Nothobranchius furzeri: one gene and its partners. The protein of the gene in region 2 purifies or fractionates together with the protein of the main gene of each other region. This does not show direct contact. Links are inferred from orthologs where the notes say so. Each region holds a gene or a part of one and is shown on either strand. Other genes may lie near its edges.

The links.
Region 1: the proteins of vps45 (region 2) and napab purify together in Homo sapiens (affinity purification with mass spectrometry; 3 studies listed by BioGRID and IntAct, with this or other methods). This does not show direct contact. The link is inferred for Nothobranchius furzeri from reciprocal best matches to the Homo sapiens genes VPS45 and NAPA.
Region 3: the proteins of vps45 (region 2) and rabenosyn-5 purify together in Homo sapiens (affinity purification with mass spectrometry; 4 studies listed by BioGRID and IntAct, counting the BioPlex papers as one, with this or other methods). This does not show direct contact. The link is inferred for Nothobranchius furzeri from reciprocal best matches to the Homo sapiens genes VPS45 and RBSN.

What each region holds. Positions count from the first base shown.
Region 1 is NC_091753.1:46,787,226-46,798,423, forward strand, and holds napab (N-ethylmaleimide-sensitive factor attachment protein, alpha b), read left to right. Parts: upstream 1-4,668; 5' UTR 4,669-4,793; coding exon 4,794-4,891; intron 4,892-5,562; coding exon 5,563-5,837; intron 5,838-6,980; coding exon 6,981-7,027; intron 7,028-7,123; coding exon 7,124-7,201; intron 7,202-7,299; coding exon 7,300-7,355; intron 7,356-7,936; coding exon 7,937-8,021; intron 8,022-8,101; coding exon 8,102-8,206; intron 8,207-8,284; coding exon 8,285-8,353; intron 8,354-8,898; coding exon 8,899-8,949; intron 8,950-9,279; coding exon 9,280-9,381; 3' UTR 9,382-9,947; downstream 9,948-11,198. Other genes in the region: bicra (BRD4-interacting chromatin-remodeling complex-associated protein), read right to left, coding at 1-790, 1,004-1,069, 1,531-1,576, 1,689-1,729. UniProt on the Homo sapiens protein: Required for vesicular transport between the endoplasmic reticulum and the Golgi apparatus. Together with GNA12 promotes CDH5 localization to plasma membrane.
Region 2 is NC_091759.1:9,670,466-9,681,744, reverse strand, and holds the start of vps45 (vacuolar protein sorting-associated protein 45), read right to left. Parts: upstream 5,803-11,279; 5' UTR 5,656-5,802; coding exon 5,563-5,655; intron 4,988-5,562; coding exon 4,853-4,987; intron 4,775-4,852; coding exon 4,714-4,774; intron 4,627-4,713; coding exon 4,547-4,626; intron 4,433-4,546; coding exon 4,364-4,432; intron 3,056-4,363; coding exon 2,918-3,055; intron 1,308-2,917; coding exon 1,197-1,307; intron 1-1,196. Other genes in the region: pogza (pogo transposable element with ZNF domain), read left to right, coding at 7,071-7,079, 8,465-8,567, 8,748-8,884, 8,973-9,033, 9,180-9,383, 9,458-9,631, 10,999-11,084, 11,164-11,279. UniProt on the Homo sapiens protein: May play a role in vesicle-mediated protein trafficking from the Golgi stack through the trans-Golgi network.
Region 3 is NC_091755.1:54,604,285-54,613,719, reverse strand, and holds rabenosyn-5, read right to left. Parts: upstream 8,592-9,435; 5' UTR 8,451-8,591; intron 7,884-8,450; 5' UTR 7,779-7,883; coding exon 7,619-7,778; intron 6,570-7,618; coding exon 6,435-6,569; intron 6,291-6,434; coding exon 6,190-6,290; intron 6,119-6,189; coding exon 6,073-6,118; intron 5,978-6,072; coding exon 5,816-5,977; intron 5,718-5,815; coding exon 5,470-5,717; intron 5,358-5,469; coding exon 5,287-5,357; intron 5,201-5,286; coding exon 5,114-5,200; intron 5,023-5,113; coding exon 4,920-5,022; intron 3,603-4,919; coding exon 3,498-3,602; intron 3,421-3,497; coding exon 2,341-3,420; 3' UTR 1,571-2,340; downstream 1-1,570. Other genes in the region: mrps25 (small ribosomal subunit protein mS25), read left to right, coding at 1-18, 93-180, 273-462. UniProt on the Homo sapiens protein: Rab4/Rab5 effector protein acting in early endocytic membrane fusion and membrane trafficking of recycling endosomes. Required for endosome fusion either homotypically or with clathrin coated vesicles.

The DNA of each region.
Region 1 (11,198 bases), on a different chromosome or scaffold from region 2:
GAGATCCCAAAGTCGCTTTGTTGCCTTGGATTAGAAGTCCACCTCCCGAGGCTCCAAGTCCTGCCTGAGAACCAGCAGCTGATACCTCCGAACCTGACTGGTGCAGCTGGTATCCACTCATGGCTTTAGCCAAGACTGGCTGCCCAGACTGATTGATAGTCATCACGGTAGGCTGGCCCACAACCTGAATCTGTCCGATACCCAAATGTCCCGACTGACTCCCGTTGGAGAGAGCCTGGAGACTTGAAATGGGCTGAAGAGTCACGTTTCCCAGGCCCACAGGCTGCATAAATGGCTGAACGCTAATAGCTTTGTTCATAACCTGGGACTGGAGCTGAAGGCCCTGCTGAGCGAGCACTGAACCAAGCATGTCAGCTGTGGCGTTGGGGGGAGTAGCCGTGGTGCTCGGGGCAGACCCGGGAAAAATCGTCGCAGCTCCACCGACGCCAATGCCTACACCAACAGGTGTGCCTCCAGCTCCAGCGAGGCTGGCATCAGGCAGTGCCTGAACCACCTGTGCAAGGCCTGGAATTCCAAAGGTATCCAGGTCCAGCTCGGCACCTGCCTCCTGCAGGCTTTGCTCTGTGATGTTGGCCTCAGCCAAACTCTGCTGCAAGATGTCGCATGTCTCGTGATTTGTCCCAATGCCATTGCTACCACCTTCTCCACCTGGAGATCCACCCAAGATGTCATCATCCTCAAGGAAGTCCAGGTCAACGCTGACTCTCGGCAGGCCTGCTGATTCGCTGGCCGACAGCTGGACTGCAGGCTGGACCTCTGGAACATGTCCCTTTAAAAAAGAAAAAGTGAAACCAGACATGATAGCGAGGAACATGACTGATTGGAAACAAAAACAAAAGCCCAATAAAACATCTCGTACAATTGCAGCGAATTATAGCATGTTGACTGTAGATCTGTTAGTGGAAAAGGGAGGGATTTAGGGAAGCATGCAACAAAGATGGATGGACAACAGCAGGAAAAAAAAGTGGGGGGCTTTACTCACCCCAGTGGCAGAGAAGAACGAGCTGGAGGGGTCACTCGAACCATCCAAAAGGTCGTCAGTGTCCAACTACAGACACACCCACCAAGGGTAAGACAGACAGAAACCAAAGACACCCAAACCAGCAGGCAAAAAAGTCACCAGGACAAACATACAGACCATCAAAACAGAGGGAGGGCAAGGCAAGGGCAGAACATGGTTCAGAGAACCCAGAACGTAAAGCATCAGTAAAGAGATAAGCTACAGAGGAACAAAATGACAGGAATAACTCAAGAGTTGGGAAACGTTAGTAATAGGAATTATTGTTCTGGCAACCCAAATGCAACCATTAGGCAGAGGAGTTATAAAAAGTTTAATGAGAGCAGTGAGGGATGCAGGTTACAGGGTGTATCAACTTGTGAGCCGAAACTGATTTTATTAGAGATGCAAAAGCAACAAAGATAAAACCTGAACAAGTCACTCATCAGTGGAGAACTTGTATCGTGAAGCTTTGCTAAATGCGGCCATTTGTTAGCCCTTCTCATACTTACATGGGTCTCAGATCCATGAAGAAAGTCATTAAGAGCTTCTGGGTCGCTGATGGAGAAAACAACAGATGTGTGACACAATGACACATAACCGAACAATCTGATATAAAATTTCCTACAATACTAGAATCAGGTCTTTCACGCTGTCAGAACATACTTACCAAATTACATCTAGAAGGCACCTGCCGTCTTCATCATCCATGACAACTGTTGAGATGAAAAACACCTTCAAGCTCGGTCATGACTTGTTCAACAATCACAACCAAAATACTCAGTTACATTTTGTATAACATGGTTATTAAGAATTACATGGGGTTTGTCTTAGGTTTAACTTCATAATTATTCTTGACTTTCTCAAACCACATGCTGACTAAATTTTAAACGACATTTTCATATTTACTCCAGCAAAACTCGAGCCATTAAAGACATGTAGATGCAAGATAAAGACTGACTTTCAAAAAGTCTTGAGCCACCGATACAGGCATTTAAACAATCCAAGCGAATAATTACAAATATTGTTAAGTGGCAGTTTTTTGCAGTAAGAGATGGCATGGCACACACCCCAAAAACATCCGGGTAATTATTCAGTAATCATCTGTGTCTTCTTTTGAAGAAAGAGTTCTTTAGTGGAAGTGAGTCTTTCCCTTTAGACATAGGTTTTTTTATTTCCTCCCTGATGGTAAAAAGCTATGAGAAGTCTCCATAGGCCAGCAACAAACTCTTTCTGACTTATGAATAAATGTTTGACAGCAAGAAACGTTCAAAACAATGAAAAAATGTATTCATATACTTTATACACAAATTTTTTCTTTGGAAAAAAATCTTAAAGACCACTCAATGCTATCAGGCATTTAGTTTATATTAAAAACTATGAATCAACATAGAAAGTAATTCTGAGTTCCTAAAAAACGAAAACTGTCTAACCTAGCGTTTGATTATCAATATCAATTACAAAGCGAGATTTTTCCCCATGTACGCTCGGTATCAAACAACCTTGGTGCGGCCCTGAACTCATCGAGACACGTAACAAAACTTAAAATTTCTGAACACGATCAAACAGCAGACAACAAACTGAAAACGCGCGGTTTTCGCACCGCCTGGAAAGATTTTGAGCGTAAGCTGTCGCTGACTTTTAACCGTGCACAGCTCGTCCAACAACACGAAAACCAAACCAACACAGTTTCTATGCAAATAAATTGTGGACATGATGCAGGAGTCCCAGCTGTCCGCCGATCGCAGCTCGGTTACAGAAAACCAGTGCGCAGGATATGAATGGAGACGCTGCAAACGGAATGCTAGATGCTAGCTGATGTTTTTAATGAGCTTTGCATGCATACCTCAACAAATTCCCCCAACGTACAGTATCTGACAGCAACACAGCTGACCTACGACTCAAATGTTTGAAATTAAAACAGTTTCATCCGTAATTTCAGCAATTTGGGTGCTTTTGGGTTGACTTTCGTTAGCCTAGCAAGCTACCCCCGCTATCAACAATATTCAGACGTATAGCTAGCTCGAGCCTTTGACATTCAAAACAAACCAGAGTGACACAATTTTAACACAAATTACGCACAGCGGCAGTCCGGTTGAGCTAAAACGAAGAAATGCTGTCTGCTTATAGTCGTAAACGCAACTACGTGGCGAGCTATTGCTAATTGCAAGCAGAATATCAGTAAATGTTGGAATACTCTTGGATGAGAGGGGGTATGCTTGGGAATTCGTTGGAAAACGAGCCTGTTTACGGTGTGATGCGGCAGTGTGTCGCTTCTTTTGCGGTAGCAGTGCGGTTCGTGTCTGCTGAACAGTTAGCAGATATCGCAGCTTTGTAGCGGATATTGGGATTAATGGAGAAATTGTTACATTGTAACAAACTCACCCGAGACGTTAGAGGTGCAGGCAGCGCGGGGTCTCCAGGACAGCCTCGCACGGGCTGCTCAACAGGACCCAACTACTGGCAGGAAACGGCAGACTTCCGCTCTGCCTGATTGAAATCCATGTTGTTTATCGAGACTTTCTTTACACACAAATACCCATTCGGAACATTAAACGGTTTTTGAACATTTTTGTTGTGTTAATTAGTGCATTCTTAAATTTGACATATTCTTCATGTTAACTTGTTTTCATTTTTAAAACTCAAAAAACATCAATAGAAAGGCAGGAACAGCAGAGGAAGCCTGTGGGGAGAAATTGCTTAAAATGAAATCATAAAAGAAACTGGATCACAAATGTAAAAAAATATAAAAGCAGTCATGTTAACAAATGCCAGCAGATTTGTTAGATAAATGCAACCCAGTCTTGAACTGCAATCAGATTATATGATTTTGGCTAAGAAAAGAACAAACTAATCTACAAAAAGCCTAAGCAAAATACTGTAACATAATCTACAAGAAAACATTCCTTTTCCATATTTTAAATAATTTTTGTATAGTTCTAAAATACGTGATTATTTTTGTAAATTTTAAAAAGGTATTTGAATGTTTGACTCATGTAGTTACCTACCACAACCCATAGCCCTAAAATATGTTTGTCATGTATTTTTCAACAAAATATTTTACACACATTTAATTCACTGTGCTATAATGCAAAGCCTGGAAAACCACTTAACATAGTTGTTATCTATTATTTATGTTAAAATTGTAAAGATTTCAGCTGACAAACAGTTTCATTATGATGCTAACCCATTTTGATTAAAAATGTCTCTTTATAATGGAACTGGCATTGACTAAAGGAAAGCATTTTCTTATTATAATTCTAATCAATATTCCTTTAAAACTGCACTTTTGAAGATATTTACGCTATTACGTTTTATTACAACATTTATGCTTAAATATTGTCACCTTTAATGTCTGATTGCTTATAGAAAAATAATTGGCTGTTGAAAACAGATAACACAAGGGAACTGTTTTATATAGATTGTCATGAACGCACTGTAATGATCCTGAGACAGATTAGAAGCGATTCCTTTGTTTCTACAGCAAATATTAACAACGAACATGTTTCTTAATTAAATTATCGATTGATATATTGTGTTGCAGCATGGTCTACAATCAGTTTATAACATGAAACATTATAGATTTGTAATGGACCAACTCTGGACCGTACGAGCAGCACCTGAAGGCAGCAGGGCTGTGACCGCCCTCCCATTGTCACGTGACAGAGAAAGCGCTGGCTGCTGATGTGACACTGCTGTTAGCAATACTTAGCAACTTTGTTGACTTTAGTATTTTTTCGCCCCCCTTTAGATTCAGAAAAACAAGTAAAGCAGAATGGATAACAGTGGGAAAGAAAAAGAAGCTACAGCTTTAATGGCGGAGGCGGAGAAGAAAGTTAAATCATCTCAGTCGTTTTTCGGGTCGCTGTTTGGGTGAGTTTTAGTTAGCTGATGTTTAGCTTCTGCTTTCAAGCTGAGGGCCAGCTATGCGGAAGGTGACCACCTAACACCAGGGCTGATGGCTGGGCACAACAGGACTGGAGCTGCTGTTAAGATGTTGTGGTATTGAGAGTATTTGTCTACGGACGTAAGGTTATTTCCCCGGATTTCTGCTGACCATAACGTCTGCAAACAACAAAGACTAACACGTAGCCGTTTATCCCAGTAAACTGAGAAAAATTACACTGAACAAACCGTTGTTTGACATGGACGATAACAGAATACTAAATTCGTTTTTATTTAAGTATGACTGTAAAAAAATATTTTTTTAAAAAGTGTGATCACATTAGCTCTGCTGTAGCACCATCTGCTGGCTGTTCCGTATTGTGCAAATCGTCACAATGTTTACAGTAGAAACCTCAAAGTTGTATCAAATCTAATGAAAATTATTTATTGATATTTGCCTTTTGCCATAAAAATGTTGGTGCGGAAATATTGTCATTATTGGACAACAATCTCAACAGATGAAATACTATCTACTATTTTTATTTTGAAAAGTAATTACTTATTATCCAGTCTTGTTTATTGCATTTACACGATCCTAACCTGCTAATAACCAGTATCTTATAGTTGTTGTTTTTTTACACGTTTTTTCTTTCACACAGGAGCTCCTCCAAGCTGGAAGAGGCCTGTGATCTGTATGTGAGGGCAGCCAACATGTACAAAATGGCCAAAAACTGGTGTGGTAAGAGGACAGTTACTTTCCCTTCCTTGTGCATATCTGTTGATATGTTTTATCTTTTAATTTGTGTTTTCTTTTCAGCTGCAGGAAATGCGTTTGCTCAGGCTGCTCATCTTCACCTGCAAATGCAGAGTAAACACGATGCAGCAACTAATCTCATAGATGCTGGAAATGCCTTCAAAAAAGCAGATCCACAAGGTAAGAGGTCACTCAATTTTACATGGAGCTCTTTGTAAAAGGTTTTAAAATCTGGAAGGAAATACATTTTTGGACTTTTTAAAATTAACTTCATATAAAGTGCAGCCAATCTAATTAATACCTGGTTTGGCAGCAAGTTTGATCCCATGACTGTGTACACTTATCTACAGTCTTTAGTTTACCCCATACTAGCTTAGTTCCAAGCATCTTGTGTGTCTGAAATTTAGCTGTCTTCTATAGACTTACCCCTGATCGAGACTCTTTATTTTTAAAACTAAGGGTAGTTTTTATACATGCAGATTTTGAACAACATCAATGCCTGTTTGCAGCAGTTTATTTGTGCCTGTGCAGGTGGCACAACTCAAAACTAAATGTGATATAAGTAAGATGAAACGTCAAAGACAAATACCAGGAATTCTTGAGCAGTCAGAAATGTTAAACTCCTCAACCTGTGCAGAAGTTTCTGGGTAAGCCTGATTCTGATGTTTAGGGTAAATGTTTCCTACAGAAGTGCATTTAAAGACCAAGTTCACTGAGAAACTTTTTTTTACTTATTATTATGTAAATATGATTGGAAGCTCTGAGTTTTGTGTACAGGCTGAACGTGAAAAAAGTCTTCTACCCATATTTCCTGCATTAGTCGCCCATAGAAAATAGATGGGGAAATGTTTGAGTTAGAAAGTACAGTCAGCTCTACATCAAGCTGTGAATTAACATTCATGGACTCGCCCATCTTGGCTCACGACGGGGGAAGGCTGTTGTTGGTTTAGCACCCAGAAAAGAGCAGAGCTAGTAGACACTAACTGTTAGCATGAGCAACTCCACAACATAGCAGAACTCCTTTAGGCTTGTGTTATTTGAGGAGATAACATATCAGTGTTGCAGAACAGTCAGTGGTAGAGTTGTGTTAATGTTAGTCAATCAGAGGTGAGATGTCCGAACATCAGGAATTCTGCTCACTTCTGCTTCCTGAAACAGGAGCATGAGATGTTGTTTCACAAGCCATTCATGCATTCTAGAGATCACTGCAGATGTATTGAGAAAATGAGTGAACTTTGTCTAAAGTCTGTTTTCTGCAGTGGAAAGAAATTTCCTTTTACTTATTTCTTGTCATTCACTGAACTGATGTTTTTCTCTCAACAGAGGCCATAAACTGCCTAAACCGAGCTATTGAAATATACACGGATATGGTGAGGTTTTTAATACAAATCCCCCTCCTAAGCTATTATAGTTTTATTGATTTGTGTTTTTAATTTTGTTTCGTCCTTGCTCCTGTGTAATTTTAGGGTCGTTTCACCATCGCTGCTAAACACCACATCACCATCGCTGAGATTTATGAGACGGAGTTGGTGGACATCGACAAGGTCAGAGACACAGCTGATGGTTATCACGTTGTTTATATTTGATCAAATGTTTACATGGTCATTTGAATTTTTTTTTTTCGGGGGTGGTGGTGTTTCAGGCTGTTGCTCATTATGAACAAGCAGCAGATTATTACAAAGGCGAAGAATCCACCAGGTAAATATTTGACGTAACACATCTGAGCAATACTTCTGTCCACTTTTGGGTTTAAAGGGAGACTAGGCAGTTTTGGCTTGCTTTTAGCACCCCCTAGTGCCCAATTAGTAGAAACAAAAACAAAACCTATCTACTTGCTGTGCGTTTTTCTTTTTAACACCTTGATCTAACAGCTGAAATGTCTCCCCAGCCTTCATTAGTGTCTACAGGACACAAAATTCATCAATAAACTAAACAGTTTAGCTGTGTTCATGATCTAAAACATGCAGGAAGCATGCTAGAACCAGACTGCAGCATCAGGTATGTCGGCTCACCTTTTCCCCCCGGACTGGCACTCTGAAGTTGCAAATGCGGTATTCTGACCACAGAGGACGGTGGGGGTCTGAGTGACATTTCATTAACCCTGTTAAGGGTCATTTTAGCAAATAATGACTCAAGAAAATTATTTAAAAATACCAAAAAGTTGCCTAGTATCCCTTTAAATAGACCTGAAACAAAAATGTATAAAGATTTAGCAAATGTTGATACTATAATTTAAATTTCACACCTTGGTTTATTTATTTATTTCTCTTTTATATCAGTTCAGCCAACAAGTGCCTTCTGAAAGTAGCGACATATGCAGCTCAGCTGGAACAGTACCCAAAGGCTATAGAGATCTATGAGCAGGTGAGATGATGATTTTTAAACCACCTGTTGCCCCAGAGGCTCCAGTTACACAACAATCTCTGACAGGTTTTGCGTTTTAGGTTGGCACCTATGCAATGGACAGCACACTTCTGAAGTACAGCGCCAAGGATCACTTCTTCAAGGCGGCGCTGTGTCACTTCTGCGTAGACATGCTGAACGCAAAGGTACACATTAGAGTGCGTCTGGCGTTGAGCTGATGTGACATGAGATCATGTTTTGATATTCATCCTGCTGTCGCCCAGCTTGCTGTGCAGAAGTATGAGGAAATGTTTCCAGCCTTTTCAGACTCCAGAGAGTGCAAGCTGCTGAAGGTTTGTGGAGTTCTTGTCAGTAGAATCGTCATTTGGGATCCCTGTGGCCTTAAAAATGAAAAGTACCTCTTAATTCCTGAGTCCAGAGATCTTACAAACATCACAGACCCAATAAAAGAGATTGCTGTATTTTATTTGGAAATGGCAAAAAAGAATTTCGCGTATTTCTAATTGAGGTTTTCCATTTGAAACTTATGGGTGGGACCACCAACTGTTATTCAGATGTGTGTGGGGGCAGGGGCTCTTACATTAGCCAGAGGGTGTTTGCCCGATGGGGAAGTGCAGGATTATCAATAATGCATTGTTTGTTTTTGGAAACTGCATGTACTTTTGTTCTCTACAGAGAAATTATCTTGATTTGTGTGATACTTTTCACAGGTTTTCTGCTTCTTTTTACTCAGATTTTTTGGTAGTTTTCAGTAAGAACTGTTTTCGTTTAAAGGCACCACTGTATTGTGTGTGTACCTTTATGTTTGTATGTGATCGGTCCTTTTGTTGCAGCCTTGCGTTTTAAAATACATCTTTTGTTTTTCTCTAAAAACCAGAAACTGTTGGACGCGTACGAAGAGCAGAACGTGGAGGCCTATACCGATTCAGTGAGTGCAAAAGTTATTTCCTGTTGATTTTTACAGCAGAAGTAAAACGTAGTGCCAAATGAAAGGGTTAAAAAAACTGTTCTACAAAAATAAACTCATCAGTGCAGATTAACAATCCCACCATTCCGAGATCTTTAAGATTTACAAAAATTTGGTTTCATCAAACTTTTGATTTATGTCAGACAGGTGTTCTGCGGTTCTGTAGCAACCAACAACCGATGCGTAAATAAGTGGAGTGGAAGTTTCTGCTTCCTGGTGTTGGACAGGTTTTTTTTTCATGCAAGTAAACAAGACTTTTCTGAGTTAGAAGATTTTTGTGGATGTTTACAGGTGAAGGAGTTCGACACCATTTCTCGGTTGGACCAGTGGCTCACCACCATGCTTCTACGCATCAAGAAGACCATACAGGACGACGAGAGTGACCTCCGCTGACTCGCCTCCCAGTTTCCCCTAATGCTCCCAACAGCAACAACAATAACAAACATGCATCCTCATTTCTGCCTTCAGCTTCTTGCTTACGTTCCTGCAGCATTCTTCATATTATGAGCCTCTGGTTCTGTTTCTTTCACACCGTTTGCAGTATTTATTTTCCTGCCTTTTATTCAACTTACTGTTCCCAAAAAAATTCTTTGCATCATATGTGTGAACACTATGCCCCTGGGTGTGCTTTCCACACACACCGTATGTTAGTTGTATGTTGTTTTGCTACAGGTGTTAATTAACCCAATGATGGTCCTACCGGTATTTACAACTGCAATGCAATACCAAATACTCATACCAGCATCCTTGTATGATACAGATTATATTTTTGTTTCATTGTTAAGTGATGGATGAGAGAACACAAGCATACTAACAGTTTGATCTAATAAATAAATAAATATATTTTGAAGAATATTCTTTAGAATAAAGAAAAGAGCCACCTGAAGCTGATATATTTGGGAATTTGGTTCTGTTTGGACCTCACAGTGCTTCTAATTAAACAGAACTTCCTTTAAGCTGCACGGAGAATAAAATTAAAAGGTTATTTCACAGCTAACACCCTCTCTGCCTTAAACTGCTCTCAGGATGTGAATGGCAAGATTTGACTCCCAACTTAAAAAATTCACTTGCATCGGATTTCACCTCGATTTAAAATGCTTTTATTCCAGAGAATAAAACAAAGGCATGTTTTTGGTCATTGTTTGCATGGTTTGGAATGAATAAGGACTCAAATGCAGAAGTTTTATTTTTTTTGTACTGTTTTCTGTTTCATGTATAACAGGCTGATAAAACTCATGTGGTCTGAAAAAATACAGCAGGGGTGGTTTAGACTTCTTTAGTGGGTTTCTGTGTTATCCATGACTTTTTAAAACTGACTTCACATCTAAAAATAAGTCCAATTTTAAAGCAATTTACAGGAAATTGTTTTATAAACTAACACGGCTTTGATTTGATTATTTTTTGGAATATATGATTATTCTGGCCACAAATGGGCATTTTGTACAAGAAGCACTGCTGCTACTGAAGTTTTCCTGTAAATTACCAAATGATATAGAATTTAAATAAAATCTTGTTTGCTTCTATTTGGAGCAAAATCTGTTTCTCCGAACTTAGGTTGTTACAAAGGCAGGTAAAAATATTTATAACGCAGAAAGCTCATTTTAAAAGGTCTGAATTGTCTAAAGAAAAAAAAACACCAGATCTAAACTGATGTGAAACGCTGTGCTGATGACTGATCGGTTAATTGGATGATTTGTAACGTTTCCTGTCTGAATAAACCGGTTTAATTGTGGGCGGGGCTTTCAACACCTGTTTATAAACCAGATCTCACCTGAATGTTGTCACATCGTTACGCTATTAGCGTTCGAGGAAATATGAGGTGAGAAAGCCGCACTCCCAGGAGGAACCGGATCCGACAGCAGCGGCTTATTCGGACCCGTGAGTATCATTTTACACTATTAATCGATTTTATGGCCCATCTTAAACCTCTCTGACGGCTAAAGGTGTCTCACGCGTTTTGTTAGGGAAATGTTTAAGGTTATATTTGAATTTTTAGGCCTTTATTTTTTTTACGAGCTCGACTGTCAAATGTGAGGCTACACAAACATACCCAAAATAATTAAGCTTGTGTTTTAAAACAATTAAGGCATAAATGTAGTCTATATAATTCGTTCTTTCGTTTAGTTTTTTAAGTTTGTTTTGACCTATTGTCAGAAATCAGGTAGAAAACAGAAAATGCTCCAAATCTGAACTATATCCAGGTGCGACTA
Region 2 (11,279 bases):
AGAGGCCGCAAACTCACTAATGCGCCTGCAGCCTCTCAGAGTTCCTGCTGCTCTAAACATTAAAATAAGTATTTCCTTTTCTGTTCCTTGTTGCAACCACAAGGTACAAAAACTAACTTGTTTTTATTTGACTTTTTCTGTCCTGTCTGTTTATTATCTTCCTGCATCTCCTCTCAGTCCTAAAGAAAAACTGCTACCTGGGTTCATATATATTCACCTTATGAGTTACCTTTGAACTGCAGTTCTAAAAGATCTACCGATCGCAAAAACAGCAGAGTGCTCGCCGGCCGCGTCAGTTAGGTGCGTCACCGGAGGACAAAACAGGTGATGTGCCCCGATCCACAGCAGCCAATCAGGCACAAATAAAAGACAGAAAACATAAAAGGAAATGTGGCGACATGAACGATCGCGTGTTAAATTTGTTTTTGAGGTGGCGACACCTAATTTGATAATGTTACTGTGGCCGTGCTCAGGACGCAGATGTCTGGAGCGAGTCAACGATCAGAGCTTTGCATGTGCAAGCTGGTTAAGGTTAGGATGGGGGTGAGGGGAAGGTTAAATTGCAAGAGGGTAAAGGTCACAATTTGGTTAAATGTCCGTTTTATCGCGGGTGTCAGTACCGACGCTCTGGCACAGCGCGTCGCCTCCGCCTCCCGACGCGCAGGGGCTCATCACCTGCTGTCTCGCTTATTATCACATGACAGTGACTAGTCGATGACAGGCATAAAAAGTCACTACAGAGCAGTGAAGTCGACTAGTTCATACAACCCCTAGTGTGTATACACACACACACATATACATATGTATATATATATATATACATACATATATATATATATATACATATATATATGTGTGTGTGTGTATATGTGTCTATTAAAACAATTGATAACTGTAAAAGAAATAAGAAAAAATGCTTATAAAATATATTGAAATTATTAAAAACTTGCTGATATTAGAGAAATTATACTTCAAATCCTAAATTTTTCATAAAAGTATGAAAAAATAGTTCATTTAAAATACTACTACTGCTAGTACTACTAATACTAATGATAATAATAATCTTACAAATATAACATTTTAATTCAAAACAAATTTTCTAAACAAATTTTTTTAAATGCTTTAATCTTAAAAGTTTATTACTAAATAAACTATAGTTAAATCCAGGGTTTACAGCTTGATTTCTGGTTGATCACCTGGTTGAGCAGCGGTGTGATGGCGTCGTCGCTTCGGTCGAGAATCAGCAGGAGAGGAGGAACTTCAGTCTTCCTGAAGTCGAACAGCTCATATTCCTTCGTTATGATTTGCTGGGAAGAGAATAAGCAGCAACATGCCAAACTAACATGATCTATCTTTAAAATTATTTAAAAGCATTAATAAATATACTTCAAGCTTCTACAATAAACAAAATTATAATCCATGAGATTGTTTTACACATAAATTGTGCTACATTCGTGTTTTTTAAAATCTACTTGTTTTAAAGAAAAAAAGCTGTTAAAATCTAAAGAATGAAGCACTAGGACCAAACATTTCCCTCTGAAATAAGGTTCAAATGCCACCGAGGTGAACTGCCTTGTTCCAGTTTCAAAGAAAACTCGCCCATAAGTCAATGACGACTACAGACCGGTTGCCCTGACATTCCACATCATGAAGGTCCTGGGGAGACTCCTGTTGGTCCACCTGAATAAGCGAACTAGAACAAACCAGGACCCGCTGCAGTTTGCTTATCGTCATGGAGTTGGAGTTGAAGATGCCATCATCCAGCTGCTTCAACCAACCCACTGTCATCTGGACAAAGCAGGCAGCACTGTGAGGGTCATGTTCTTTGATTTCTCCAGTGCATTTAACACAATCCAGCCTGATGTACTTTGCCAGAAACTCCAGAAGACACAGGTGGGGGCCTCAACTATCGCCTGGATTAAAGACTACCTGACAAACAGACCACAGTTTGTGAGGCTGAAGAACTGCACATCAAACCAGGCGATCAGTAACATTGGAGCACCACAGGGGACTGTACCCTCACCATTCCTTTTCACCCTGTACACCTCAGACTTCCAGTACAAATCAGAGACCTGTCATCTACAGAAATACTCAGATGACTCTGCAGTTGTCGGGTGTATCAGAGATGGACAGGAAGCTGAGTACAGAGAGCTGGTGGAGCGCTTTGTGGCATGGTGTGGAAACAATCACCTGACCTTGAACGTGAACAAAACAAAGGAGATGATTTTAGACTTCAGAAGAAACAGGGTGGAGTCAAACACTGTTTCCATCATGGGAGAAGAAGTGGAGGTGGTTGAGGAATACAAATACCTCAGAGTTCACCTGGACAACAGACTGGACTGGAGAAAGAACAGCGAAGCCGTTTACAAGAAGGGACACAGCAGACTGCACTTCTTGAGGACGCGTAGGTCCTTCAGTGTCTGTAGCAAGATGCTGCAGATCTTCTACAAGTCTGTTGTTGAGAGTGTAATCTCTTCAGCCATCGTCTGTTGGGGTAGTAGCATCAGAAGCAGGGACCTGAAAAGGCTCAACAGCCTAATAAAAAAGGCTGGTTCTGTTCTGGGGACGACTGTGGAACCGCTGGAGGAGATAATGCAAAGAAGGATTCTCCAGAGAATCAAGAAAATGATGGACAACCCTGAACATTCTCTTCACAAGACTGTCCGACAACGGAAGAGTGTCTTCAGTCAGAGGCTTCTTCAGTTTCACTGCAACACTGACCGCTACTGGAGATCCTTCCTGCCAACAGCCATTGTAATATACAACAACTCTTTGATGACTTCATTATTATTATTATTCTGAGCTACTACAGCAATCAATTTCCCTCGGGGATTAATAAAGTATTTTGAATTGAATTTGAATTGAAAAGCAAACGTTACAGGATGTGTGTTAGTGGGAGTGTTGTTGTCATGGAAACCTTGACGGTCTCTGCGAGACGTTTGGACATGTCTGAGGACAGCTGGTAGCGGATCATTGGACATTTCTTTAGAGCAAGCAGGACGGAGGTCAGACCCTGAGTGCAGCGAGACAACATGGTGGGTTCCCAGCTCCGCCCCTAAAACATACAAACAAACACACATAAGCTCAGACGCATCCAGATGTGCTGCACACCAGTCGACCTTCACATGCCACAAATGTTCCAGAAGAAGCTAAATCAACATGTCACCAGCTGAAAAAGGCCACAGATGTGGTGTGTGTCAAAATAAAATGAAAAATAGCAGGACTCAAGCTGCCTAAACTATGTTTATGTATTTAGCAGACGCTTTTGTCCAAAGCGACTTACAAGTGATAATCGGCATGTTGCCCTTGAGGCTAACAACAACAATAACATCAACAACTTGACATCAATCATGGAGAGGAGGGAACAAAGGAGTGGACAGTAGAAAGGGGGACAGGTGCAGGGAAGGTGCTAGTTTAGAAGATGCTCTCTGAAGAGCAACAAACTAAACATCACACTACTTCTGATAGTTTGCATTCTGCACAAAGTGCATTATGGTGCAGTTTTAATGATGCACTTGGATCTGGCAAATCCAGATCATGTAAACAAAACCCATTTACTTCAATCTAAAAGCGTAAAATCTTGGTGTAATCATGAGCAGAGACCTCCATTTCCATGAACGTATTAAATCGATAGTGAAGTCATCATTTTGTCATCTTAAAAACAGCTAAAGTCTGTGACTTTGTGTCCCATCAAGATCTTGAAAAACATACATTCCTTTATCTCCTGCAGGGTTGATTACTGTAATGCTCTTCTCATCAGATTCCTAAAAAGTCCATTAGACAGCTTCAGCTCATTTAGCTGCCAGCGTTCTAACCAGAACTAAGAAAAGGAGCTGCATGGTGGTGCAGTGGTTAGCACTGTTGCCTCGCAGCAGGAAGGTTGCAGGTTCGAAACTCAGCTGCGGCCTTTCTGCGTGGAGTTGCGTGTTCTCCCCATGCATGCGTGGGTTTCCTCCGGGTGCTACGGTTTCCCTCACAGATCACAACATGCCCTATAGGTTATAAATTGTAAGCTGCTTTGGATAAAAGTGTCTGCTAAATAAATAAACATAAACACAAAAGGGATCACTTTACACCAAGTCTCAGGACCGTGCATTAGCTTCCAGTTCAGTAGAGAATTGATTTCAAAGCAGTATGAATTCTGTACAAGTCATTAAATGGGCCGGGCCCTAGTCACATCTCTGAAAACTATGATGTATAATCCTGGTGGGTCCCTTCGATCTGCAGATCTCCATATCCTTCAGCTGTCAAGCACCTACTGCATCAGTGTGGATGAGGGCGTGCAGAGCATTTATTTATTTGTTTTTACTGTCAGGCAGAAAGTGTAAATCATCAGTAAACTTAGTTCCTCCATCTTTCTTACCCTGGCGACTCCCTGCAGGTTGAGGGAGAATAGGTGAGGATTCACGGCAATGAAGTCTCCATAAAACTCCTGCAGAAACACACACCCCCCCACACACATATTTACACACAAACATAAAAGCTCTTGGTGTTGTATCAACATTAACAAAACAGGAAGCTAGTTTGTTTAGCACCTGAAACTCACCTGGACTTCAGCCACCACCTCCTGTTCATCAGCTTCAGCCAGAGCCTTGATCTCACTCTTACTGATCACGTTACTAAAATCTGAATTAAAAACACAGCGGTCAGCTGGTTTGATCAAATAAAACACGAAACTAGACAGTTGACATCAATGTTACTGCAGTGACATACAGATGAAGTAGACACTGTATTTTGGCTTCCTTAGTTCCTGGATCAGGTGCTCCACATTCTCCTGCAGGAAACATAAATAAAATATGAATATTATCATCAATGTGACTTTTACACAGAAGTAAGCTGCAGATTTTAGTACCTTTGTGGGACGAAGGAAGCAAATGGCTTTGAGGTGTTTCATGCTGTCTCTGTTCTGAGAGTCAATGCGTTCAAACAGGTAAACCTCCTTCTGCAGGATCTCAGACTGGGTGTACACCACACTCACTATACTGGTCTGAATACACACATGGGAAATATTTACTTTCATTCTAACTGATTTGGTGCATTTCTTACAAATACAAAATATTAGTTAAGGAAGAATATTTTAAACATATACACTGATCAATACCGAACAAATGAACACCAGTAATCATTGATGGGGTTTTTTTTGTGCCGATCATCAAAAAACTCTGAGAAAATAAGAGTTTCAGCAGCGTATGGATTAGTATTTGACTCCAACTGCTTCTTGGCTTTTAACTTTAGCTGCTAAAATAAAACCAAAATGTTTTCTGTCATCTTTTAAAATTTTGATTTATTACTGATTACTAAAAAATGTCTTGTGTTATCTTTTCATTGCCTTAAAATCTGCAACTGGTGCATGAACCGTTTGATATTTGGGATCCAAAACTTGTAAAAACAAATAAGATATGGGTTCCTATGAAACGGTCAAAACAGTTACGAACACATAGCACAACTGTAACTACCACATGCAGCATTTCACTGTAACACACGCAGTATGAAGAAGTGCGACAAGGTGTTTTGTTCTACAAATAAATAAAAATAATCTATGTTTAACTTCCGGCGTCTCACCGTCTCCTTGTCCATGAGCAGAACCTTCATCCCAGGCCCGCTGTTCTCGATCATTTTAGAAATATACTGCTTCACCGCGAGCGTCAAGTTCATGATAGCAACGCAGTGACACAACTATAATAAAAACCAAACAACTCAAATGGCAAAATCAGCTGTAGAATATTTTCTAAACTCTGTCGAGAAGATTTTAGTCTGTATCCTTTCATCTACAGAGATGTATCTCTTGTGACAACACTTCTGCGAGCCTTTTCCGGGTTTCTGACGTATAAGCGTCGTATGTACGTACGTCACGTGACCACACGTTTCTCCTTTTTTTGCATTCATAAAATGTTTACAAATAGCTGAAAAGTTGAGTTTTAATGACAAACAGAAAATATAGTGATTTCAAAGTACATTTCTCATTCAAGTGGCAGTAATACAGTAATAATGGATTTTAATTAATCGTGGTAAAGTGTATGTGTTAAAATTGCAAGTCACATGCTAGCTCTTGCTAACAAGGTTTTAGATACTTATTGACAGTAGGAAGGCAGTTTAGGCAACAGTTTTATTCAGCTTCAAGTCAAGCAAGCCCAAATGACATTAAACAAGCAAAACTGATAAAGACATTTTATTTTCTTTTTTATCTCCTTTTTTTAAACTTGATTTTTTTAAAGCTAGCTGACCATCTGTTCACTAGTTATAACTAGCAGCTGACAAAATAGCTGGTATACTATTCCGTACTTTGTGAAAAGAATTTCTGCTTTGCTATTGTTGAAATAAACTGTCTGTGTCCATTTAAAATATACTAATTTTAATTAGTGCAATTTTGTGTTTTTTTTTTGCAATCCCTAAAGCTATTTGCTGAAGCTAATCTGAGTTAGCGTCGGTTAGCATCCACAGTAGTTCTCCTTCAAATAGTAGCTTGAAAATGTTCTGTCAGAATTGACATATCGCATTGAGGCTGCTTGTATTTTTTATTTATTAGCAAATGTACAGTGATAAGAAAGAAAATGCAGTTTCATTTTTATTCTTGTGTTTATTGTTCAGTAACTAAACTCTCAGGGCTGCTCCATCTCTGCGAGTTCATATCACTCCGCGCTAATATAGTGCCAATACAGAACAGTGGTAACAGTAGCGCGAATGCGGATTGCGGAGGGATACGGAAGCCCTCGCAGATGTGATTTTGTTGCATGGTGACCGCTCACATTGTGTTTAGGAAACATTTTCATTCTTTAGTTTTATAATTTCTAAGTTTTATGATTGGAATTTTAACGGAATCAACATCTACTTATCATACTTAAGGACAGGAGAAGGTAAGCGCACAAGAGACATTCTTTTTTAAACGTACATCGTGCAGAGTTTATAAAGTCAAAGATTTAGCTGCTAGGCTAGTTAACATGCTAGCACTGCAAGCTAATTTCCAAACTGGAAGAGGGGGAGGGAGGCGCTACGGGGACATGATCGTGCGTGCAGAAATACCTCTGTTAAAAAAAATTATAGCAGCTTTTTAAGTGCTTGTTTGGATAATTATGCAACAAGTAAGAGTTAAGTTAATAATTGTTAGCATTGATTATTTCTGTAATTGGGAGGTTTTACCTGTTCTAGAACTTTAGATTGCTAGCTTTGCATGCTAAGTGTTTTAGCTTAGTGGGTCAGTTAGAAGATCAATTCTTAAGTTTGGAGAACTTTAAAGACCCTGTGTAATTCCTGTTACGACCACAATGTATCAAATTGAAAACTAAATGTATAAAATATGACTGAAGTTTCACAGAATTCAAACAATAATAGCATTAAACTAGCGAGAACAGTCAAATTCAATGAAGATGATGGGTGTGAACTTTTGAAGATTATCTTTGCAGCAGCACCGAGTAGCGCCAGTTAATTTTGCAATGTTATATTAAAATGTGGGAATATACAGATTTATTAAGTTACATCTTTTTTCTTCAGTTAAATATTTATACGCGCTATAGTTAGCATTTAGTGCAAGATTTAACTTTTTTATAGAAAGTAATTTCTTATGGTTTTGTACTATTGACCTCAGAAAAATCATAGTTTTATGAAACATATACCAACTAATAAATAATTTAAGTTGGGATTTGGCTTTTTAAACCAATGAAATTATGAAAATGGATATTCATACCACATCCCCAGGGTGAAAACAGATTTTGCACAAGGTTATTTATCAAAAATTGACCAATAAAAGCCACAGCTGTACCTTTTTTCCATATAAGACTCATAGTTTGTTGTGTTATCCTAATATAAATATGCAGGAGTGATCTAAAAACTATGTTTAAACACTATTTATGTAATCTAATGGTATAATTTATATTTAAATAAAGTAGTTATTTTTATTTATTATTTTTGTGCAATTTAATTTTTTAACTTAAAAAAACCTGCCCCTTTTATTATTTTACACATGTCCCAGTTTATATGAACAGGAAAAATAATTAAGTGATTCCTTTAGGTCATGGTGTCACAGATTTGTAGGAAAGAATGACTTTTATTTACCATAATATTATTGCCTACTTGTTTCATGCTAACCTAGACAATACTTTTTATTTTCTTATCATTTAGAGAATGTAAACATCTCTCATAATTATTCACATCACTCAGCTTCTTACTCAGTTGTCTTTTTATTTAGCTCCTATTTGTTCCATCCTAAGGCTGCTAATATCTCCAATTTGTAATACTTTAAAATGTTATTACATAGTAGTTGCTATGAAAACTGTCATGATGTTATCTTTAGTGGTTTAGTACATTTTAATAGTAGTGATTTAAACCAGTTAATTATGTCTCTTAATATTTTTAGACACTTGTAGTCACAGAAAGCACATCAGCTTTACATCCTGCCTATAATTAACGTTCTGCATGCTTTTTGTTTTGTTTTGTTTTCTTGGCTGGTGTGGACTTGGTGAAAACGGAGGCAGAAGTAGAAGGTGGCCTTCTGATGGAGTGTGTTGAACAGGAACAGGAGGTCCCTGCTTCACCTGAGAGGCATGAAGCAATAATGGAGAAACCCAATATCGGTGAGAGTTCAGGGGTCACACGTGTGACAGAAGACCTAATCAGAAACAAACTGATGACCAAGATGTCAGTTGGATAAATGTTTGGGTTTAACTAATTATTATAGTTTTATAATCGTAATATAGAATTATAATGTTATATTTGGAGGCAGCTGAAAGAAGCTCTTGTTTATCTGTGTGCAGTGTTTTGGAATATCTTTGATCTGAAGGAGGAAGACACAGGTCCAAGCAAACTTCCAGAAGCCAGGATCATTCCCATCCCAAACCAGGAAATGACCAACGGCATGCCCCCCACATCCACCAAGACTGCTTTTGATTATGTAATTAATTATTTCAGTCTGTAACAACTTGCTCCACGTTTCTCTGGTAGATTTTAAACAGTCGTATGAACCCACCTGATGTTTTCAGTTCGCAGTTCCTACTTTGGGCTTCAAGGTCAACGGGCGACTGGCTTCCCTCAAACCTGGAGGTCAGTCTGCACTTCTTCAATGTGATGCACGTAGAAAAAGACATTAGGATTTTATTTTAGCCGTAAAAAATGAGGATTATATGTCTGAAAGCTTTTAACTGAACACACCCAAAAAGTGTCTGTAAAGGCCTCTGTGTGTCCTGCAGGTGACGTTGCACAGTTTAAGCTTCGTTGTAACCCTGGAGGTTCAGCTAGTGGCTTCACTACCATCCAGATCCCCGCCACCGTGACCCTCCACAGTTCTGAGGGCGTTTCCACCAAAGCGTTCCAGTCTGATGGTGCAACCTCCTTCATCAAGACTCCTAAATTTGTTCCCAAGCCAAGCCCTGAGCCCATCCCTGTGATCACAGGTGCTTACCACTGTCATCTTAAAGCTTAAAAAACATCAGATGCTTCTAAAACTAAACTAGACTGTCTCATTCAGGTGTGGTTTCGGGTGAAGCGGCCACGAAGGTTCTGAATGACCATTATGTGAACTTCAAATCTGGTTTTGTCTCCCCTGCTGAGGAATCAAAATCAAAGGAAGCTCAACCAAAACCAGAGACGAATTCTATTTCAGAAAAGAAGCTCATGGCTCCAGAAAAACTACTGCGGAAAGGTTTGATTTAACATCTGAATCTGCTTTGTAGACCGCCAGGGTCCGAAATTAACACTCGCCACTCGCCAAATGCGAGCAAATTGCTCCATTAGGTGAGTAAATTTTTTAGCTCTATCTGCCACATGGCGAGTAAATGTTAGCACCAAATTAGTTATGTTTATCAGTCATCTTCCATGGATTTCTGATACTCCTCCCGCCTGCACGCAACGTACACAAACGTGAACGCCGCATCCAACGTCATTTCCACCTATCCCATTCAATCAGTTTATCAAGTTAGCCGTTAGCTTCGTGTTAAAACTAGCGGTGAATTGTGGTGGTTTTTAACTGGAGTCAGCCAGTCTTCCAAAAGAAAACTCGTCGAACTGGAAGAAAAACCACCAGGACCAGTGGCAACCAGAAGATTTTGTGAAAAGTGGCGAACTGGAGACGGCGGAGTCGTGAGACAATGGCTACATTATGATGGCCATGTAGCGTTGCTGCCTTTCACAGACAACTGTCCCTCGGCATTCTTCAAATATCCAAAAAATGCCCATACTTCCGACTTTGTCTTCTTTGAGGGATAATAAATTTCCTGAGTGCTGCCGTCTCCTTTTTTGGCCATTATTTCAGCTTTAGCTTCAAGAAATTTTTGGTCGTAAACAACAAAGCACGCATGTGCCGCCGGCATCTTCAGCAGATGATACGGTGGCTGGTAAGGGTCACCGCGCCTACACCGCAGCCACGGTAATCCACCGAGATAATATATGTTTTTTTTTTAAAAAACCAAGACGGTTATTATTATTGTGAACTTCTTTACCGGGGTTTACCGCTACACCGGTTACCGTGACAACCCTAGCTCTGACACACTTTCAGATATTCTCATGGTGCAGCTGTGTTCTCCAGAGATCAAGGACTACGACCCAAATGAGGCTGCAATGCTTTGGCACAAAGACGGTGTCAGAAGCAGGAGGCCAGACTTCATGGACAGAGAAAACAAGGAGTCTGACTAGATTTCAATGAAAGAGTTCATAAAAACATCTCTAAAAATAAATAAATAAATAGTAAAAATGACAAAATAGTTGTTTTCCTTATTAATTGAAGTTTTAATTATTTTGTCACTCTGTTTGGAATCAACATAATATAGAATAACATGCTTTAGGTGGATCTAAATCATTTAGAATTTTGGCCGGTAAAAAATATGCTTGGCCGGTAGATTTTCATCATCTACCGGCCAACTTGGCCGGTGAGTAAAAAATTTAATTTCGGACCCTGTAGACCGCTGTCAGCTTTAGGTCAGATTGTTACACAAAGCTGGTGCCAAACACAGGAAAACATCACATATCCATCATAGTCGAGGCTCAGGTGTGTTTTCGTTTCTCTTTTCTCAGGTGAGATCGAACCCATCGCTCCCCCGAACTGTAGCGTCTGCTCGTCTCCGTACAAACTCATCACACAGCTGAGAGGCTTCATGTGTGTGAGTTCTGCAGGATTCTCATCTCGCCTGTAAACCTGCCATCTCAGACTAAATGTTTTTCCCCCTCCTGAACCTTCAGAGGTGCTGCTCTGGCGTCGCTTTGGGTCTGGCGAACTTAAAGAAGCAGAGGATCAAAGAACAACGGAAGAAGAGAATGAAGATCAAGCTGAAGAAGATGGAAGTCCCTGACTTGTC
Region 3 (9,435 bases), on a different chromosome or scaffold from region 2:
TCTTGAGGTTTTATCTGGGTGAGTACCACGTGTGATCTGATAGAATGAAGCCTTAGTCCTTTTGAGTTGATTTCCTGTTCCTCTGAATCCAGATGATGGAGAACAAGTACTGGTGGACGTGGAAGGGAAGGACTACAAGCAGATTTCACAACATATTAAAAAAATCCTGGGCAAATCAGAGTAAGTTTGTGGGTGGTGTTGGTTCAGATCATTTTTAAACCTCTAAAATTGTTTCATTTCTGTTTCTTAATCTCTTTGTCTTTGCTCAACAGTGAAGTGTTAGAATCTGAAACTCAGGCCAAGATGCAGGCCTCCAACCCCGCCAACTTTGGCCCAAAGAAGTACTGTCTGAGGGAGTGCATCTGTGAAGTGGAGGGCCAAGTACCGTGTCCCAGCATCAAGCCACTGCCTAAGGAGATGACGGGAAAATATCGGGCTCGGATGGCAGAGGCACAGGAGTGAGAAGCTGGAGTTTTACTGGAAAATATTTTCTGTTTATTTTGCATTTCAACAACAGACTGTTATTCAGCTCCAGCCTAAAGCAGCAGAAGCCCACCGAACCCACGACCGGCTTCTGTAAATACCCAAACATACCCTCATTGCAGGAAAAACTGCTCAGATAAAAGACTCAAGTGCTCGTTGTTATCTTGGCCTCCCAACCTTTCTGGTCCTGATCCTACTGAGCATGTGCAAGACAGGCTGAAACATGGCTGATCCCTGCTGCCCACAGTAGTTAGCGACAACGGTCACCATATTTTATTAATGTTTTTTAATCAACACTGCGATGGAAATGTTTTGCGTTAATAAAATGGGTTTGTCTCTTTTGTTAAAAGCAGAGGTGTGAAATCAGCGTCTAACCGTTACAAAATTAAAAATGCTTAATCTTTACAGATGAAGAAACCAAACATGGTTTGAACAGAAGCATAAACATCCTGACAGAAAGCACAATAAACTGTTTTAGGGCACATTTAGCAGCTGGATGATGACTCCAGCTAGTGTTTATTTAGCGTGAGTCAGCTGATTAAAATAAGAGTCTGAACTGTTTGGATCTAACGGTTTATTTGATCAGGACAAGTATGTCCCTTTTCTGTACACAGCAGGATTTCAGGATTTTTACATATTTTACTCCTCAATTACAGCCGTCTGGTGTCCTGACAACAGTATCCACTGCCTAGTGTTTGCCGCTTAAACAAACTGAGCTGAACAGAAAAATGCATCACAAACAGGATTTTGACAGCGCAGATCCTCGCGAGTCCAGCCACCAACTCCCAGACGGAACAGACGAACACGGAAAACAGTTTTGTCACACTCGGCTTTTTGTGGAAACTCAAATGCAGTTTTCTTTGACTCGTGTCAGAGATGAAGTGCAATAAAAATCAGCTCAGGATACAAACACGGATACTGTTACTGAACAACATCTGGATTCAGTTTAACATTAATAAATGTACGGTGGCAGATTTTAACAGCTGTTATTGGGCAAATACTTGATCTCAGCTATTATATTTACATTTACTTATTAACAGCATTAGAAAACTTAAAATGACTATTCTACACTGAAATGACTCATTGCTGTAAGACGGACCTTTGATTTTAATTTCCTCTGACCAGCGGGATGCCAAAATGCTGAAATTAAAGTCGGCATATTGTTTTGATGAAAAAAGGAGACATTTTGTTCTTTACCCTGTTAGAACGGCTAGATTTTAATGCTGCAGCAATGGTAACATTTTGTTCACAGCTTTTATTAGAAAGCTAAATCATGTTCTGACCAATCAGAGACCAAAGACTTGTTCACCTTTGCACCGCTGTTACTATTGTGTGCATGTCTTCATGCCTGAACAAATGATCTGTTCAGAGCTTCGCACGAGTGCAGCGGTGGACTCCAGCTGGACACAGAAGTGTTTGGTGACTAAATCCAGCTAGTAAGTCTAATACTTATTTATTCACATGATTAAAGGGATTCCTGTTTTTATTGGGGTTTGTAAAATACAAGCAGTCTGCTCTAAGCACAAGCTGAGATGGATCAAAGGGCTGCTGTGTAAACATTTGCTTGAACCAATGAGATTTTTTTTAGTTTAGTGTTATTGTACACAGCAAAAACCCTTTTCTCCTTCTGAGCATTAATTATTTTGGTTTGGCCAACACAATGAAAATGTGCTATAACAACTCTACTGCAGCTAGTACACCAACAGCTCATAAACACTCCACACAGCCTCCCCAAACAAATAACTATCCCTTTAATCAGGCTGCCCGACTAGCCTTGCTTAGCAGGGTTGCTAGTTGTGTAAAGTGATTAGCCTTATGGGACTTGTTAAGTAGCAGGTGATCGGGGGCTAAAATGCATCAGTGCTTCTTCTTCTGTTCCTGTAAAGTGTGCAGCAGCTCTTTCAGATTCTTTGACAAGAGCTCGACCTCATCAAGACGGCCGCTCAGCTTGGCATCAAAGATGTAAGCTCTAATGTTGTTGATCTGCTGCAGCAGCAGTTCCTCCTCAATCATGTCCACGTCGGGCAAAACCTCATCCTCGTCCACATCGAAGGGGTTGGTCGACACCTCAGGAGAATTTCCAGAGGCCTCCATGAAGGGGTTACCGGCGTCGGTGTCATCCTCCTCAAAAGGGTTTGTGGGTACAGCCTCAACCTGCTGGTCCTCCACCGTGTCTGCATCTTCATCAAATGGGTTGTTTTCCTTCTTCCCGTTGGTTACTCCTTTGTATTCCCTCTGGATGTCCTCAAAGAAAGGATTAGATGGATCTTCCTCAATGGGAGTAGAGTCCTCCTCTTCAAATGGGTTAAGGGAGGTGTTGCTCTGGCCTTCACTGCTAGGGGGCGTTACATGGCCTCCTAAACTCCTTAATCTTGGAGGGGATTCCTCTTGGGTTGTAAGAGAGGAGCATGCCCTTACAGCTGATGGACTTCCATCGGCTTTACTAATCAGGACCCCTGTGGTGTCCTGCTCACCCTGGTAACCTGCTGCTGGGCTGATGTCCAGAGATGGACAGGTGGAGGACAGCTGGGTGCTGAACCTGGAGCCCCACTGCACTCTCTCCAGGGCCTCCAGACGCTGGAGCTCCTCCTGCTGTAAGCTCTCCTCCTTAGCCTGCTTCTTAGAAAGTTCAATAGCGAGACGGGTCTGTTGCTGGTCATACTCATCGTGCAGCTGCCGTAAGTTCTCTTCCAGCATGGCGACCTCGTCTGCTCTTTGGGCTTCACGCGCCTGATTAAGGAATGATTCAATGTTTGCAATCTGCTGGAGGAGGGGGTCTTCCAGGTCACTACCTACATGGACGGAGTCTGCAGAAGGTAACCAACCACCAGCTTTAGTCATGCGTGGTTCTCGAGGGGCCCGTAGCAGCTCCCCATTGGCTGGTGGACGGTTTTTCTCAGACTCCTGTCTCCTCTTTAGAGACTCCTGAGCTCCCTGCTGAGCAAGAGATAAAAGTCCAGATTTAGAAACGAGTTTGTCCAGCGAAAAAACATCAGACTGGAACTTATTCTCACCAGTCGCTCTAGCTGGAGCCTCCTTTCTTGCTCTTGCTTCCTCTTGTCTTTCAGCTCTTCGTACTTCTCTTTAGTGGGTAAAGACATCAGGCCCAGCAGCTTCTCCTAAAACAGAGAAGACACAAAAAAGGGAACAAAAGTTCTAATAATCCTCACTTCTACTACATGTGAGGCAGATCTTTCACAACCCCACAATAACTAGCAAAGACATCCAACCCACTTACCTAGCACTGAGCCGATTACAGGTAAAACTATCTAACTGATTTCAACTTAACAATGCCCCTTTGGTTAGAGAGCATCTGGGGGCATCCTGGAGGGTCTGACACATACCGGCGAAACTCCAAAAATTAGAATACGGTGCAAAAGTTAATTTATTTATTTAATAAGTGGGATAGACTCCTTACATGCAAATCCAGATATTTCAGCCTTTATTTGTTGTAACTATGGTGATAATGGAGTGCAGCTTATGAAAACTACACATTCAACATCTCAGATGATTAAAATAATGTGAAAAGTCAAAAAGAGTCAATATTCTAGACTCAGAGTGTCACACTCTAATCATCTAATGAATCCAAAATACATGCAAAGGGTTCCTGAGCCTTTAGATGGTCTTTCAGTCTAACTGGTCTTCCAGGCTGTACTGTGAGACCTCTTCAAATGGTCCAGAACGCAGTGGCATGTGTGGTCTTCAATCAGCCAAAAGAGCACACGTCACCCCTCTGTTCATTGAGCTCCACTGGCTACCGCTAGCAGCACGCATCAAATTCAAATTGCTAACACTAGCATACAAAGTCCGAGATGTACGGCTCCCATCTACCTGAATCCTCTTGCAAAGGCTTACGTCTCGGCCCGGCCGCTCCGGTCATCACAGGGTCGTCGGCTAGCAGTGCCTACACCACGCTCAGGACAATCCACTCTTCTCATGCATCGTTCCACAAATGTGGAATGACCTTCCAAGCACTACCAGAACAGGGGCTTCCTTTTCAATTTTCAAGAAACTCCTGAAGACCCTGCTCTTCAGAGAGCATCTTCTTAACTAGCACCTTGCCTGCACCCGTTCCCCCTCTCTACTGTCCACTCCTTTGTTCCCTACTCTCCATGACTGATGTCAATGTTGTTGTTGTTATTGTTGTTAGCCTCAAGGCAAAATGCCGATTATCACTTGTAAGTCGCTTTGGACAAAAGCGTCTGCTAAATACATAAACATAAGTTGGATTACTGACATAACTGGACTTTTGCTCCATTTTCCCAGATGGTAGCTACAAATCCATTGGGTTGGCAGATTGTATCAAACATATCAAACACATTTTGATAAACTTCTGAACTAAGCCACGATTCCCAGCTCTTACATGTCCTCTTTGGCTAAAACTTCAGTTTGGCTTTTTTGTGTTTAAGCCATCAACTGTCTTCACTTGGTCTCACCTGGACAAAGAGTGTTGCCATGTATCGTATCATCCTCTGAAGCTGGAGTGCTTTCGGGGGCGACGGTGGGTTGTTTTTAACTCCTAGTGTTAAAATCTTCTTGCTGGGGAAATTAAAACCAAAGATTTCTGTTGAACTCTTAAACTTAGACAGCTGTGTTTCACTTTGAAGTATTAGTGACAGCGTATGTGTACCTTAGAGCATCAATTAGTTCATAGTACTTCTGGACTTCCAGCCTCAGTCCACCTGCCGTGTCAAGATTGTAGGTGGTTTCTCCGGCACTTTGGCAGGAAGAAGTAAAACATTGTCAGATTAAAATGAAAACAAATGTGAAATGGTTACATCAATACTTTTTAATAGTGCCTACTTGAGAGACTCAGCCATTCGAATATACTCTGGAGCTTTTTCTTCCACCTTCTCCATGCACATCCTGAGTCTCTGGCAGGAAAGCCCAGAAAGTAAACAGGAAGTGGCAGGAAGGATACAGCAGTGTAAACAAAAAGAACAGAACTGTAGCTGAAGGGAAGTTTTCTGGGACTGTTAGACCAACCTCATAAAGTTTCACTACATCTGGAACGTGATCCTTCTCATCCAACTTCTGCTGTCTCTTCAGCAGCGTGTCCATGCAGTGGTGACAGCAGCGGATCTTCTCATCGTCCTTCTCCTCCAGAATAGAAGCAACGCTGCTCAAACTGCTGATGCTGCCCCTCCTGGAGCCCATTCCTGCTGGCTGATACTGAGTCTGGCTGGGACTTCCAGGAACACACAGGGCCTCTCGGGTCCCATTAATGAGCTTCTCTGATAAATAAAAACAAAAGAAGGAAATAGCAGCACTGAGCAACGAGCTTCTGCTCCTGCGTTTGGATTTCTTTGATTTCTAAGATGTTGATACATACGAGCCAAAGGTAGAGGGACGAACTCCATGCACCTTCTGCACATGATGGATCCACAAAGGCGACAGTGGTGGCGCCGGTTCCGGATGTTGAACTTGTTTCCACAGTCGGGACAGAAAGGGACGTCTGAGTCATTCACCCAGGGCACTACAGATTTCTCAATGGCTACAGAGAAAGTTAACACAATATGATTTGTGACATATTATAAAAAGCATCCACACGGTAAGATTTAACTGAGTTATAACAAAAAATATACAAACCTCTGATTTTAGCAGAGTCTGAGCTGGTTCTATCAAACGCTGTCAACTGAAACGTCAAATTTAAGGTTAATGGTTGTTTAAACTTATTTCAGGAGGAACATTGTGGTTCAAGCACACCTTTTCCAGTCTGATGATGAGCTTGTTGACTTCAATGACATAATGGTCTATCCGGGCTGCTCGGTGCTTCTTAAAAAACTCCAGGTGACTCCTTCTTGCTCCTATAAGAAAAATAAATAAATAAACACAATGTGTAAAAATAAAGTTTGTTCTTCCTGGCATTTACATCTGAATGATTTTACTAATAAAGTGTGATTGGATGTGAAAAGCCCAAACAAATAAAAGAGGATTTAAGTCCTGTTCACCCAGTTCCTGAGGTTCCCACATATATGGGTCCACTCCGCCGTAGTAGAAGGACTCATAACTGCCGGTGTCCGGTCTGTCATCTCCATCCCTCTTCAGCAGCTTATCTTTGGCTTTCTTTGCTTTCTGAACCAAACCTAAATACACACACACACACACACACACACACACACACACACACACACACACACACACACACACACACACACACACACACACACACACACACACAAACAAATGAAAAATCAGAGGGAATGTGTTAAACACAGGAACATGCACTGATTTTCTAAATCCTAAACACTAACCCAGCATGCATGTGGAACCTTTATGAACCAACGTTTATGCACAACTCACCTTGACCTGTAGATAAAACGTCATTCTGCTCATGTTCAGTAGTAACACCACTGCACACGTTACACTTAAACACTTCTGGTTTTTAAAGGCTGATTTCAATAAGAAAAGAAACCTATCCAACAACTAAAGGCATTGTCTAATTCACACAGAGGTAAGTGCTCTGCACTAATGGCAAATTGTGAAAAGTACAGAGGACAGTGGCGTGTCCAGATCTTTTAAAATGGGGTGGCCCAGGTGAGGCACAGCTTTGTGCATGGGTGGCACCAATGGTTATGCTTTCTTTGTTTTACCCCCAAGCCATTTGTGGACAATGAAAAGCCTATTTAAAGGTTAAATAGTGTGGTGGCACCTGGGGTGGCCAATCAGATTCCAAGGGTGGCATGTGCTACCCCAGGCCACTCCCTGGACACGCCCCTGACAGAGGGGATGAATGGAAACTTCAATTTTAGTCACACAAATATGAGAATAAAACAGGAACTTTGTCAAGTGAAAGCCAGAAACCAAATCCTCCAATGCAAGATCCAGCAGTAAGATGACGAGTGACTGACTGGAGCTTAGATTAGTTTTACATAAATATTACAAAGTAACGGTGAGTCAATTTACCTGATTCTTCTGAAAATAAGAAAAAACTATTTACTATCTTAGAACTGATCTTTGCAGTATGGTATTGTAGTTCAACTTTAAAAAGTAATTTAGCAGCTTTTTAATTATTTATGCAGCTGGACCCCTCCCAAAAACTATGCCAATAAATCCAAGGTGATTCATATCTAAAATTTTCATGGGTTACAAATGAACTATAATCTGATTATGACTGACACAGGTCAGGACTTACTTTTGAGCTGTCCTCGAACATGACCATCGTCCCCCGAGTGCTCATCATAGTGTCCTTGGAGTTGGTAGAATGACTGAAGGTCTTTAAAGCACAGAGGGCAAATAAAGCCCTCCTTTACTTCACCGGTGCCCTCTAAAGGAGGTGGGTAGCTGGAGGCCATGATGACAGAAGGATGTTCTGTTGTTCAGGAGGTGAGGTGGCATGATCCTCCTTGGGCCAACATGTCACAAGGTGTTCAAAGTAAATCTAATCGACTCCATAACAACTGTAGGGGAAAAACTACCTGATGAATATAGACACCGAATCAAACAGACTAAATACACAATAATTTCCAAGCATAACCTCAATTTATAGATTTAACTGCAATAAACTGTGTGATTTGGTGAGTATACCAAGTTAAACCAGATCCTGGGGTTAGAGTGAAATTTACAATAGAGATCCAATTTATTTGAGCACCTTTAGGTCACGACGGAACAGAAAATGTCCACTTTCTGCTCTGAAGAAAACTCATGCAGCTGCACAATGAAACATTAGCATTAATCTATATTTAATCAGGTTTCACCGGGACATAACCAGCTACGGTTAGCTTTAAGTCAAAACCACGTTATTAAGTTCATTTGTTAGCTCCTTACAGAAATGCAACACGTGGACTTCTGGCTATGTCTTGAGTGTTTCTATTAGCTTAATGTGTCAAATTTAATCACCGTTACATAAAGACAACAGGTTAGCTTAAGAATGCTAATCTCGTTTTCTTTAGCTATTGTTTCTCCAACCACACCGCTCAAAGCAAGAGGACAGAACAACGTCTGACCACGCATAAACAAACACTTACGCCCTTCATGAAATATTTCAATTTTAGGCCAAAATGTCTCCGAGAATTGCTGTTGTTGACAGTTTTTTCTTCTTGACAGCTAGACAACAGAAGCTGCAGCAGCCCCACCTGATCATGTGACCGGCCTTTCGTCGCTGCTAGTGGGAGCGAAAAGGGACAAACGTCAGAGAATAAACGCGAACTAACAATAAAATAATGGTTTCACTTCGCTAATTTTCTCTCATATTACACTTATCATTGAGTAATTTTAATTTATCTTAATATCACATTGAACGTCAACATAAAGCAGATTTCTTGGAGCATTTTCTTTTATCAAAACAATATTACCGAAATCAGTGACAACCGATCATTCAGTAGAAAATTGCTTTAATTATAAGATCTGCAGTTTTGCTGATTATTCATGTATTTTTTTGCACATCAGCATTGCCTTTTTATTTCTTTATAAATGCATTTGGATTAAAAAAATGTGAAAAGTTCGCCTATTCTGAAATGTGTGCAGGGTACACAGTTTCTAAAAGATTTGCAGAAGCCAACTTTTAAAATTACATTGAGGATGTTGTTTCAAACATGAAACACACAAATATAAACTCCGTGCAACTCTGGATTAACTAGATGGTCACGTTTACCTTAATTAAAAATGTGCATGAGCTTGTTGCAAGATTGTTCAAAATGCAGTGTTTTATATGGTTTGGGTAAAGACTGTCAAATAACACTTTTTAAAAACTTAATTTTTCTTATTTCACAAATTGTGTGTATTTTTTCTTCTTAAATCCTCCTAATGAAATCCGTCATGTTAGGCGTGACAGGAATTTTGTGGAGCACAAAGGTGGAAGAAAGGAGGTCTTGAGGGATCTGGCTCATTTGAGTTGAGCCCTCTGAAGAGCCCATCAGTGTCCGAGCTTCAGTAGGATGATGCCATAAATGTGTGGAAAGGATTTATTTCTTGTAAAGTTCAGAAATAATTTGAAATTAAACCATCTTGAAA